Drosophila melanogaster: one gene and its partners. The protein of the gene in region 1 interacts with the protein of each later gene in a pairwise test. Each region holds a gene or a part of one and is shown in the gene's direction. Other genes may lie near its edges.

Region 1 (4,691 bases):
GAGTCTTTCGTAATCTCAAGTATCTGCACAAGATCGAACTTAAGCGCAATCGCTTGGTTAGCATCGATGCCAAGGCCTTTGTGGGAGTACCACTTCTCTCGCAGATCTATCTGGACAACAATGAGCTGACCAAACTGAGAGTGGAGAGTTTCCAGGACTTGACTAAGCTCACAGCATTATCGCTGGTCGAGAATCCTTGGAACTGCACATGCGATCTTCAGATGTTTCGTGACTTCGTTATAGGCATGAACCTGTATACACCGCCCACATCCTGCCATTATCCTTTGCAGTTACGTGGTCGTCTGTGGATCGAGGATCAGCCGGAGGCGTTTGCCTGCAAGCCGAAGATTGTGTATCCAACACTCAGTACTTCCATCAACACTTCCAAGGAGAACGTAACGCTTATATGTCGCGTCCACGGATCTCCCAATACGGTTATTGCCTGGGATTACACCAATCAAGTATACGAATCCCGCTCCAAGCCGGTGAAAAGTCTGCAAAAGCAGCGCATCTACATAGAACTGTTGCGTGAGGATGAATCAAAGATTCGAAAATTCGGACATGATGTTTTTGTGTCACGTCTAACGATAGTTAATGCCCGTAAGAGCGATGAGGGCGTCTATACCTGTCTGGCGGAAAATCCCGGTGGCAAGGATTCGGTTCACATAAGTGTGGTGGTGCAAAAGGATATGGAAAGGATTTCCCTCATCGACAGCAACTTCTTTGCAATAGTCTGCCTTATAGCCATGGGTTTTCTCAGCATGTCGATTCTATTTTCGTTGGTAACATGCCTAATATTTAAGAGATTCAAGCAGTTCCATCCCGGCCAGCACACTTATTTGCAACCCACTAGTTTGCCCGTTCAGTCACCTGGCAGTGAAGAAGCCACCGCCATCAGCGCCCTAAGTTCTGGAGTTATAAGGGAAAGTAAAATAGTGCTGGATCCATTAAGTGCTATCAATGAACCATCAAATAAAAATTACACTTTATTTAAAACATCCAATTCGAATGGCAGCGAGTATATGCACACGAGAAATTATAAAGACGTGAGATTAAACAGCAACACATATACTGAAAATCTAGACAATCAGGCGGAATCCATTTCATCGCGGAATCGGGAGCTCTATTCAAATATAGCTGGTGACCGGGAAAAGGAAGAGCTCAAACAGAAAGGCAATAAAATGCCAAATAAAATTAGTGCTCAAATTTTAACTTATTCTTGTTTTTCTCCTACTTAGATGAGCTCGATAAGGATTCCCGGCAGAGTTCCTTGCAATCAACAGGCTGCTCAAGAAAGAAGGGACAAATCGATGAACTCCAACCGGACCTTTTGCCTTCCACTCAACCTACTGCCTTAAAAAATATTAATGAAACTTTCGGTCCATCAGCGAAAAAAGCAGAAGTTAATCCCCGAAGCAAGTACAATACCAATGTGCAAAAGTACCTAAAGGAGAAGTACGGCAGTGTTAGAATAAAGAATATCAGTACTAAAGAACCCATTACTGGTGTTGATATCTCAATATAATATATTAATGTTTTATAATATGGCATTTCCCACCATACACAGCTGCGAATCCACCGTAAACCCCATGCCATTGAAATTTTAGTCTTTGCCAGGATTTCAATTCATATCCAGCCCTACCTCTCTAAGACCTCCAGGAGATAGATGGACAAAGGAGATCCAGTCAAGAAGAAATATACCTCGCCTTATTTCTGGTAGTAAATTATGTATTTTAAAACGTTACTAATATATAAAAATATTTATTTACACAGTTCTAAGTGTTTTAACCCACGCACTTTAAGTGAAAGGAATGTAATAATAAAGTTTTAAGTGATGCCTTTAAATGAAAAATGTGTAGCTTACTTGAATTAATCTTATATTATCATCGAATTCTAAAAAGCATTTTTAGTAAATCGTTTGATTTTATTTACCTGACCCACTTTTACCGTACTCTACGTTCTATCATCCCTGACCTACCCCGAATTCATTCTTGTGTGTGCTACAATTCCCAACTGCTTCTGGCCGTTTGCTCATGGAGACCCTTTTCGTTTTCCGTTTCAAGTTATCGCTTCTCGGCCTTATGGCTAAGATCAAAGTGTAGTATCTGTTCTTATCAGCTTAACATCTGATAGTTCCTCCATTGGAGGACAACAAATGTTAAACTGATTTTTGGAATCAGACGGAGTGCTAGGGGCTTGCTCCACCTCTGTCGCGGGTTGGCCCGGTATTGCAGTACCGCCGGGATTTCGGCCCAACTGAATAATAAATATTTAACTATTATAAAATCAAAAGGATCTACTTGTCAACACAGTAGACTTTCAAAAGTTGCTAGTATCTGTCTATCTGTCTAGTTTCTTATCAAAATTATGTCGTTTTGGCAAGCCTGATTACCTACCACAATGACTGCGCCATTTACCTCGCGTACCAACCAGGCCGCCGATTCCGGCAAAGATCAATCTCCCATCCATGGATTGAGCCGGAATCGAAAGCGTCAGGAGAGGCGAAAGCAGCGCCTGCAGGAAATGCAAGATTTGCTGTACACGAAACACTTTTCCAACTACAGACTGCCGGCATCGGTGGCCGCGCCAGCTCCCGAGGATCAGCTGCTCCTCAAACTGCAGAACTTCGAATCGCTGACCGAGCAGCCGTCCAGCAGCAGGAAGAGCACTGCGACCACATCTAGCGATTCGCCGTGGAGCCGACTGCGCCTGGTGGCATGCCCATGTCACGGATGCCTATGCTCGGTTGACCCCAGCGCTCTGTTGGGTCACTATTTGAGTGACCATCTGCCGGGAATGGGAGTTCCGTTTTATGAACTGGAAATGGGCAAGCGAGTGTCACTAACATGTCATATTAGTAGCCTGGAAAGAGATGTCAACACCCTGCTGGGGGTCTATGGCTATCGGCGCACTGGCCTTAATCCTCTGAAATGTCACCGAAACACCCATCTGCCAGTGGAGTACCGCCGCTTCTCGCAGCATAGCGCCCTTATGATCTTCGCCTGCCGCACCATGCACTCGGTGCTGTGGGAAAGGAAGCGTGTCAAACACGAAGTCCTGGCCATCTGGGTGGCTACTCCTTTGCACGGCGTGGCCATCACTCTGCGCCTGCTGGTCCAACCTGCCAACCTGCCACGTTACTACACCAGACAGATAAAAGCTCGTCCAATGCTGCCACTGTCGTCGAACCAATCCTGCAGTGAGTTCATCAAGACCGACAGCAACGTGATCCTCATCAGCTTGAATGACCTCCGGCCACTAATGGATTTAGATGTTTGGCAGCAATCGCTAACCGTCGAACTGAAAGTGATTAGCGAGGCAAGTATATAAAACTTCCGGTTTTTTTTTTTTTTGGAATTCGCAATATTTTTGGCCATGTATTTAAGTCTAAGATTAAACAAGGAAACATAAAACTTGAACTCGCACTTACTATATGCATTAATAAATTAGGACAAAGTATCAGAGATTACATTTGATAAAAGCAGCTACTTCCTGATCCAGGCATCCTACTTCCGTTGCTGAATATATATACATACAAGTCGTACAAGGCTTTTCAATTCGGCAACAGTTTGGATAACATGCTATTCGTACAATTTTGTTGTTCCTCACACTTACATCGTACTTTAAAGGGAATTTACAAATTTTGAGCTTACATACATAAAATTTAGATTTTAAATATTCTACGTTAATGTGTTAGAAATATATAATTATGTGTATAACCTTATATCATTAAGGCGCATGTGCAGATATTCTAAAATTGTACTAGAAATCGAGAGAGCGGTGCGCTGAATCCTCAGGCAGCGTCGCTTCGCTTTTTACGCAACAAAAAATTAAAGCGCCATCATCAGGGGACGACATACTAAACAAGACAAACTAAATAAAACAAACTAAAAGAACGCAACTAGAAAATAAAAAACATCCGTCTAGTGTGAGAGGTCGGAATCTGGTTCCGGCTAGCCGGCCTTTTGGGTCTGTTTTTGGCGTTGAAGTGCCTCAAAGGCTTCGATTTCCTTCTTTTCTTTGGCCTGATTGCGACGCTCATATTCCAGTCGGTGCGAGATGATGCGCTCCACGATGCGCTCCGTGGTCATCTCGTTGCCGGAATCGATCAGCTCAAAGATGGCTCGCGTCTTGGGAACGGCATATGGATCGATCTTGCCATTCTCAAGCGCAATGGGTGTGCGTCCATGACAGACAACATCGATTTTGAAGTGCTCAAGCAGCTCTTCAGTGACACAGTAGGGAGCTCCGATTACTACCTCATTGACAAACTGGGGGAAAAAAGAAGTTTTAAAATGAGATAATATTTAAAAAAAAGAATCTATTGCAATCCTACCTTGCAGGCCAAAACACTGAGCACGCGCTCGTGCAGATTCATAATGGGATAGTTGCTGCCCTTGTAGGAGTTCACCACGGGATCTGTGTGCAGGCCAACAATCAGATAGTCACCCAGTTTCTTAGCCTTTTCCAGAAAGTCCAGGTGACCCACATGGAAGAGATCGAAGGCGCCAGCCACATAAACCTGCAAATACCGACAATTATGAATTATACATTATATACATATAATGAGGGCTAAACTTACAATCTTATCGCCGGGATTCGGTGACTTTCCATCACTGAACTGTATGATCTTTTGGGTAGTCGGCAAGAACTGACTACAACCGGTCCACGGACTTTTGGCTGCCGAATCT
Region 2 (4,703 bases), on another chromosome or scaffold:
GCTGCTGTGTTAATGGGTCTCAGTAGGGAAAAGACCTTAAAAACTTAACACTTTAAGTGAGATAATCTGATAGTTCCTTTCTATGGGTTTTAATTAAAGAAGTGTTGATTGCTTGACATGAATTCATTTAAGGGGGAATATATAGACAACAGTATTGTTTTCATGAAAAACTTGTCAATTGGTGAATTTATTTGCATAAGTCATTTAAACGGTAAAACGATAATAAGTAAGAATATATGAACATATTCAGCACGAGATAAAAGTTACAATCAAAATTCATTGCCTACTTATGAGCGCACGAACGAATCTGGCTTTCCATTATGACCGTGTACACCCCAACAGCCTAGCAAGGAAGCTAGGAACTGCAGCTGTGGTCAATGCTGACCCTCGGACTAGAGTCAAAAGAAGACTCAAGCGACACCACCCTCATGACCTCCCTAACCTGGTTTTGACCTAGAAAGTCTTAGTTTTAAAATTCATTAGAATAATCAAATAAATAATAATTACTATGTTATATCAACTATTATAATTCTCCCTAACATTTTTAGGATTAAAAATCTGTTAGTCTTAAGTAACCAAGACACATTGTAAAATAAAATAATTTAAGCAGATCAAATTAAGTTGCCGCATGGGTAACAGTGCGTTGATCAAATAATAAAAACATCAAATATTGGTCTCAAAAAAAAAAAAAAAAAAAAAATTATGACCGTAATACTGTCAAAAACAAGCACACAATAATTATAATGATGATCAAATAAAACTGGAAATTAGCCCAAAGTGTGTTAAGTCAAGCGAGGAATCCGAACAAAGGAACTACAGCCAGCACTGGAGGCAAAAAGTGACAGTAAAATTGGCTCGAAGACAGCGGCTAATGAGCGTGCGATAGGAATAAAGGAGTAGAATGGGGCCAAAAACCCAAGAAACTCAAGTTGGCTAAAAGGCAAAGATATCGCAGTACTAGTCAAATACGAGAATACTGAGAGAGCATTTTGCGATGGGCTTGTGGCAAGACTAAGCGTCTTACTGGCAAATTGGGAACGGGGTAAGAGGAAAAGCCGAAAGCTAAACAAAGACGGCCAACGCAGATGGCAAAAAGGAAAAACTCAATTGCCGCACAAACCGAGCCGCCATTGTTTTCTTAATTGAGTGTCTTTTGCTAGTGTGTCTGTGTGCCAGTATGTTTGCTCATACATATATGGGGTATCTGTGTGCCAGGACACTATGCTCATTGCCGCCTATCTGCCGGCAGAGTTCGCTTATCAATTACATTGAATTTACCCAGGCAGAAATGGCTTTTAGCCATTCTAGGCACCACCCCCTGCAATCAATATTTGCCGGAAGTGATGGCATAGGCAGTCACATTGACTTTTGCGCCGACTGCTCACCTCTCCACTTCCTGTGCTTCCGATTTGACGCTGATTTCACAACTCGCCGCACGGAAATTGCCCGGCCCCCCATTTACGGCTTCAGTAAACAACCGCACCTCACGTTTCTTGACCACCCCTCCACTCCATTTCGATTTTCGAATCTTCACTGTACTGCAGTTGACGAAGGCGCACATTTTATGTATGTATTTGCCGTGAATCTCCAACTCCATCCTACTTCATAAGTCGCCTGATTTATTCCGGCCACGTAGCACTCACTGCACAGTTTGATTGCCACATTCGCATGTAAATGCTGGCCTCTAAAAAGTATTCAAACCAAGCGACCCAATCCCACAAATCTGTCCCACGTCATCGCGCATAATCGAGCTTTTAATTTCGGGTAATAAAACTTTGCCGATTTAATATCAGGTACGTGGCGCCTTCATTCTACAAAAGAAAGCCATAAAATGTGGAACTGACTTCGAGGGAAGCCATAAACTTATGTTTTTCAATGAAGGATAAATAAGAAAAATAACTAGTTGTTACACCTTTCAAATTTTTAAAGCATATTCCCCAATTTATTGTCAAGTGATTCATCAACGATTTCTGTGGCCTGCAAAGTTTGCCTTGAAAGGCAAAAGATTTTGTTCATTAAACAACGTGATACACGAAACCAAACTGAAAAAAACTTTGTTCTACGAGTATTTCAAACTTTTCGCCAAGTTTACGCATAATTTTTTACGATATTTTCCGCAGTTTTTCCTTTTGACGGCTCATCTTATTCTTATTGTTGTTCGAAAGGACTTACCCAGCATCCAGGGATCTCTAATAGATTTCCGGCAAACAATTTTATTCACTTTCTGCTATTGAATTTGGTATTATTAATGCCGCATTTCCTAAGCTGTGGGCATTAAGTATATGGCTAACTTTTCTACTTCAGGATATTAAACGAATTCATTACAATATTTTTCATAATTTTATTTCTTTTGGCAAGAAGATATTAAAGTAGACCAGCATTTAAAAGAAAACTTGTCTGCACAGAAAACTACGTTTTGTTGAGTAGCAACTGTAGATAAAAAGTTACGAAAATGTTTTTCGCTCTGACATTGCTGTCAAAACTCATCAAAAAAATACTATTTGAACATTTAAAAATATAAAATGGATTCAGATGCCGATGGTGGCGAGACCGTTTCGAATTTCTCTGAAAATTCGACGGATTTTGAAGAAACTGAGGAGTATATTGTAGAGAGGATTTTGGATCGAAGGCATTATATGGGCCAATTACAATACTTGGTCAAATGGCTGGATTATAGCGATGAAGATAATACCTGGGAATCGGCAGCAGATCTCGATTGCCATTCACTTATTGATTCGATTGAATCACAAAAAAGTCTGAAGAGGGGTCAAGAGCTGAATAATCAATATGAAACTAAAGCTAAACGACTGAAAATCGATCCATGTCTAGTAGTAGATAGTCCTTTTAATCATGGTTTCACTGCACAAGAGATTCTAAAAGGCGCTAAAAACAATGGTGAAATATCGTTTTTAATTAGGTTTTGGCATCTCGATCAACCACAAGTGGTGCCAAGTGGAATTGCATATGTGGAAATACCGCAGATGGTTCTGAAATTCTATGAAAATCATTGCAATTTTCACGATTATTTAAATAATTATATATCATGACTTGCAATTCTGGATCTTCAAAAAAAAAAAACTTATGAATATGTGTGTGAGCTTCTTATATTTTATATGTTAGGTTAAATTGCTTTACTTTTTATAATAAAAGGTGTCCCTTTGCACAGCATTACAAACAATAATGAAGGCAAAATGCCAAGTTTTAAGTGATTTTTGGGGCGTGTTTGCCCGACAGGCAGCGTAAACACTCTTAATTGCAACAACAGTGCCGGCAAACAAGGGCCAGGAATGTACGACGGCCAAAATGAAGCGAAAATATTTGCATTCCGTTTTTGTGGCCATTCCCTTGTCTCATCGCAAGTACCAAAAGTCGTAAGACCTATTCTCTGTTTTTGGCTGATGGGGCGTGGTGGCCGGACGTACTTTTGCCCTATATATTCGTGTTTGTTTTTCGTCACTTGGGTCCTTTTTTTTGGAGGGGGGGGGGGGGGGCTCTGGTGCTACCCAGTTGCGTCCAGTGGGCACGTAGCCACAATAGCAGCAAAAAGGTTTCGTTTAAGCCTTCTGCACTTTTGCCGAGAATTGATACTGCAATATCCGGTCGAGCAAGTTCAACTCCAATCAATTGCTCTTCGATATTGGTAAGTTTTTGTCGGCGGTAAAAGAAACTAAGACCTATTTGAATTTATAGGCACACGCTTGATTCAACTTTTGTTTTGACGTTATGCTTGCACTGGTGTTCAATACTATTTCTATTCAAAATATTCTTAGATTAAGCTAGATAACTGATCCATGAAACTAGTGAAGCATTTATTCACGCTGTGCTTTTTTAGATTTTGTGAGTTAAAAAAGAATAATGTTTTTTTTCGATTTTCACAGAAATAATTGAAAAAAAGGAGGGGGGAAACAAAAAATTAATTTGGCGCCTACATTCTATTGCCCACATTCCAACCTATCCACTTTCTTTTGTTTCGCATGAGGTCAAGGGTTAAATGTACACACGCATACATACATACATGCATGATGACCGTATTTGTTTACGTGCCTCGGTCGACCCTCAAAACAATGGACTGCCATTGTTTTTAGTTTTCCCACCCCGCTTCACCCCTCGCGGGCATGGCACAAGATGTAGATTAGGTGTGCGAAATGAGGGTAGATTTATGCTACCCTGGAACTCATTATCGAAATTATGAATAATGCAGTCGACTTTGCCCTTTTCGGGCCTCGGCTAATTTGAATATAAATTTAACTCATAAATATATACAAGACGATTTCCGGCAGACGGCGCCAAGGGAATAACTTCCTTTTTTTTGCGATGGTGAGCAGGGGTGGCAGGGGTCTGAGACCTAAGTAACTAGCATACAACAAATAATCAACAAGAAAGCCAACTACTTAGCCGAAAAACACGACGACATCAGGTCAAGCAGTCAGCGAAAGAACCACAAAAACAGCAACTGTTCTGAAACACTTCAAGTTTTATGGCCAAAAAGAGGGTCGGAGGTCCGTTAATATTTAAACAAAAGTTTCTTGTTGCAACATATTTTTCCTTTCTTTGGCCACTTTTCGAGGAGGGCATCATCATCATCATCATCGCCATCTTGGCGGGTATTTACTTTGGCCGCTTGGCATAAATTATGCCGCTAATTAAGTGTCTGTGAAGCTGTTAATAACAAAATGAAGGGCAATTATCAGGATGGCGGCAAA
Region 3 (4,538 bases), on another chromosome or scaffold:
CCACTTGGCACAAAGGGGGCGTGGTGAGTGGTGATATGTATGGCTGCACACATGGGCATGTGTGTGTGTGTGTGTGTGTGTGTGTGTGTGTGTGTGGGTGCGTGAGTGTGAGCGCTGAGCAGCTGTTAAATATTTGCTCAGTTCTTTTTTCGTTCTCGCTGCAAGCATTTGAAATGTATTAATAATTGTCAAATGTTTAATTAGCCAAGCGAACACAAGCTCAACTCGTTCGTTCGTTCGTTCGCCAAGGAAGCCATTCCAGAGCCCCAAATGGAGACAGTTTTGTCACGACGAAATACACAGCAAGAAAAACGTAGGAACTTGGAACTTCCTAATTCATATGTGTTACATATTAAACGATTTTAAAATGCGGCATATTGAAGCTATGCACAAAAGAAATCTTTGTTTCAAACGTTTGAAAAGGTCTTAAATTATGGAAATTAATATTTCTCTCCGTTCGCTTCAAAATGTGGTAGGAATTTTAATTGGAGAATTGAAAAAAAAAGTAACTGGCGAGATATTTAATATTTTTCTGGGTGCACAAGGAGACAGCGGAACAGTTTACCGGCGCCAAAAATATGCGTAAAATGCTGGAAGAGCTTCAACGCAGCAGCAGTAGTATCAGCATTTGCCCCCCGTTTGCCACCCACTTAAGCCACCCGCTGCCACCGCACCATCCCCCTTACCCAGCCACTATTCTAGGCACCGCATTAGGAAAGCCAAAAGGAAATATCCTGCGCCTGGGACTTTTCCTCGTCGTCAGCGAAAATATTCGGTAGAGAAAATTTCCCAGAGTGCGATAAAGTCTGAACTTCTCGCATGCTAGAAATTTTGTCAACAATTTGGCTGGAGAAGTATTTAAATGGTATTCAGTGAAAATTTCCGACTATATTTCCAAATATATATTTAAATGACTTAGATAAATATGAACTAATTTTTGATCAAGGATCTATTTGGTTTAAGAACCCAAAATTTTCATTAAAAATGTAATTTATTCATTCATTTTATTCAAATAAATTCACTTAAGATTTTATCACCATACGAGTATAACCTTCTATCTGTCAGCCTTTATTAAAGTCAAATGAAGATATTTTCTATGAACGTGTTTTGGTTTGTGTCCATATTTATTTGCGGAGCTAATTAAATAGGATTAGTTGGGGCAAAGTAGATTAAATGGAAGAAAGTGTGCATGTTCATTAAATGGATTAAAGGTGTGCTTTCTGCTTTTATGAAGAATTTAATTTAGCTTTAAAAGTGTATTTCTTGTGTGTATATATACTTAGCAATAAGCATAAAGTTTCCAATTGTTGTTTAACTTTAAAATTATGGTTTCGCAGATATAATACAAATATCTATGTGTGTGTTTAAGTTTTATGGCATTTAAAGCGCATTAAAATGAAATTAAATATTCATTCGGAAATTTAACTGGCAAACACGAAAACGGAAGAGAGAAGCGATGATGATGATGATGATGATGATAAAAATAATAATTATAATAATATTGACAACAATGACAGCGCAACTGACACGATTTCACTTAAATGACAGATGCAAAAAGAACGAGAGAAAATTATGGCCGCGAAATAAGAGAAAAGGCAAATGTCCTTTTCGTGGAACTTTTTATGTCTACTAATTATTCATTAAAGAACAGATTTCGCAGCATTACGAAGACGCTGCCGAATAAAAGAGACAATCAGAAAATAGGATTAAAACTATCAGTATGCCATTATTTCTGCCACTTTAATCTGGTTTTAATGTTGAGCATTTGCCATGTAAAGTGCATAATAAAATTGTAGAAAATTTAATTATGCGCAATTAATGCGCATTAAATGCACGCAACAGCGGGCGGCGAATGATCCTGGGCGTCAAGTGGGCGGTCTCCTGTCCAGAAGGGGGCGTGTCCATTGATGTCGGCTAATTGACTGCCATCGAAGTGGGTGGCGTGGGGGCCTTTGGGGTGGCATAACCAAATGCTCGGTCAGCTGCTAATTAACATTCTCAGTGGGCGCCAGCGATTGATGGAGGCGGAAAAAAGGTCGTGGATTCCATGCCATCTAATCCGAAGTGCGAAGGCGGCCATGTCCTGTCCAAGGAGCGGCAGCCAAATGCTAGGAATCAACAGAAAGCGCGACCTTAACTGTCAATTAAAATCGCCCCCAAAAGTGGGCAATTCATTTTTCACAGCAAAAGAAGCGAAAAGAAAAGAAGAAAAACTCAATTCGAAAAAACTAATGTTGCTTAGTAGGCGTATTTGAAATTTACAACAATTTTTAGACATCAAGCTATCCATGAGAATCTTTTTTAGATCCTTCAAAGTCAATGCTGAGAAATTTTCAGTAACGTACAAGTCACCAAACCGAGCACATCAAAAATAAATTTTCGGCAGCATTTTTTAAAAGTTTACAAATTTCGAATTACCAAATTTCGAGATAAAATTCATCCACGATTTTTTTCGAAATAAAACATCCAGCCATGTCGAACGGTTTTTCCTTCTGGAACGGACAGCCAGTGAATGCGCCTATCTTTCCCCAAATGGGTGATGCCATAAACGTTGGTAGCCAGTGGTCGTCCAGCGTGGCACCAGGATCCTGTGGACCAAGAACTCGACCGATGCTGCAGAGCATGGGCGATTTCCAGCCGATGAGATGTCCTCCAGTGCCACCCAACTTCTTTGGCCAGCCGCACGCCATGGGAACTGGATTTGGAGATGATCAGGGACCCTGCGAACCCTGCATCGATAATGGAGAAGCCTTCTGCGCCTACAACGGCTTGGATATGAGCTGTGCCGGGAGAATTAAGGGCGATTTCTGGTAGTAAATCAGTTGTCCCATCCAAGACCTTCTTGTTCACAAAGTCGTTGGAATAAATTTTGCATTGTGGTCTCTGCTAGCTCAAACATACATACTTTTTTTATTTTTAAAAAGGGTTTGCGAAATATTGTCTTGTTTAAAATCGGGTTTTATACGAAACATTGCAAACAGAACATCTCGCAGGATATTAATGATAGAATAAATATCCAGGAATGGCCTTTCTGAATTTAGCTATGGCATACAAATCATTAAAAGATTTTATGTTTTGTGCTTCACTGCAATTTCGCACAGATGTCGTTTGACAAACGACTGCAGGCAAAATAATAGCGAACATAAATCTAAAAAAAAAAATAAGTAAATGGCTTACAAAAGTATCAATTCTGCGGAAGAGCCTTTGAACTCATCGCCTTTCTCACAATGCTTAAAGTAATCAAATTGGAGGAGAAAATATGTGTAAAAAGATTGTAAAGCTTCTTTTTTAACAATATCCAATCAATTTCGAATTCTATAATAAAACGAAGAAAGTCCTCAATTTGGCGTTCCAGAATTTCGCATAGTGAAATGCATTTAAGTGGAGGTCCTGCGATGTCCTCTAGCGGATGCATTATCCTTGCTCTGCTCGCCTCCATCCGTGGCTACAAATTTATGGCGAGCCCTCGGCTCCGTTTGATTGCGAATATTATCTTATTTTATGTCAACTCCTTGCCACTTCCCGCTCCTTTTGAAGGCCATCAAATGCAAATGTTTATGGCGGAACACGCCCCCTTTGCGAACCCACAGTGCCATGCATTTTGCATGCCGATGGCGTTGGCTTTTTATGGGTGTGTGCAGTATTTATGGCCCAACTATGGCACCTGCCCCACGCCTCCAAGTGCCACCATTCCACCATTCTTATTTTTAAAAAAATATATATGTAAGATTGTTTATTATTATTGTTTATTATTAATTTAATTATTAGTTTAATTCTAAATGCGGTAATTATATAAAGTATTCTTAGTTTGTGACCGAACGACTGCTGCTGAGAACTCGACTGACTGCAACGCTGACTTCCACTCCACTGCTGCCTTGCGATCGTTCCTTCGATGACTGATTGTCGATAACTTCGATTTCCGACAATCATGTTGCTGCTCAACAGCGCTGCCAACCGGGTTGTTGCCAGCCTTCAGCCTTACTCCATGTTACATTCGGCCCTCCTGATCATCATCATCCGACCCGGATGACAATAGGTCTGCATTTTCGGCTATGTGCTTCCACAACTTCATGTTGTCACAGCTGGTGGATGTGACATTGGGTCCTTCGACGTTTGCTGCTTTTTTAACGTCATATCTGCCATTGTCTTTGACCCCTGTGACTTCGTATGGACCTAAATACCCGCTTGCCATCTTGCGGCCAGCTACAAATTGGGTCCTTTTAATTGCAACCAGATCACCTGCTTTGTATTTGTATTCAGCTCGGCGCTTTTTGTCGTAATTGCGCTTGTAGTCCTTCTGCGCCTGCTCGATGTTGCGTTTTACCAGCTGTCTCATCTCATAGCGGTCCTCGTTGAATTGACAGACCACTTCTTCTTGGAGCAGTTCCAGTAACCGATCCTCAACTCGGGTGTACATCTTGGTGCCAAACATGACCTCAAATGGTGACAGCTTCAGTGATGAATGCACGTGACAGTTGATCGCCTTTTGTACCTCAGGCACATATTTGTACCACTTCGACGGTTCGTCTGAAGACAGC

The links. Proteins that work in one complex are often made in the same cells at the same time.
Region 2: the proteins of CG15482 (region 1) and HP1e interact in a two-hybrid assay, tested with the Drosophila melanogaster proteins (one large-scale study listed by BioGRID).
Region 3: the proteins of CG15482 (region 1) and CG15200 interact in a two-hybrid assay, tested with the Drosophila melanogaster proteins (one large-scale study listed by BioGRID).

The regions. Positions count from the first base shown.
Region 1 is NT_033779.5:13,209,491-13,214,181, reverse strand, and holds CG15482 (uncharacterized protein), read left to right. Parts: upstream 1-2,367; 5' UTR 2,368-2,400; coding exon 2,401-3,330; 3' UTR 3,331-3,409; downstream 3,410-4,691. Other genes in the region: kek4 (kekkon 4), read left to right, coding at 1-1,173, 1,239-1,525; Pect (phosphoethanolamine cytidylyltransferase), read right to left, coding at 3,954-4,271, 4,337-4,522, 4,583-4,691.
Region 2 is NT_033777.3:9,319,304-9,324,006, forward strand, and holds HP1e (heterochromatin protein 1e), read left to right. Parts: upstream 1-2,466; 5' UTR 2,467-2,522; coding exon 2,523-3,047; 3' UTR 3,048-3,058; downstream 3,059-4,703.
Region 3 is NC_004354.4:11,180,584-11,185,121, forward strand, and holds CG15200 (uncharacterized protein), read left to right. Parts: upstream 1-2,347; 5' UTR 2,348-2,472; coding exon 2,473-2,814; 3' UTR 2,815-2,893; downstream 2,894-4,538.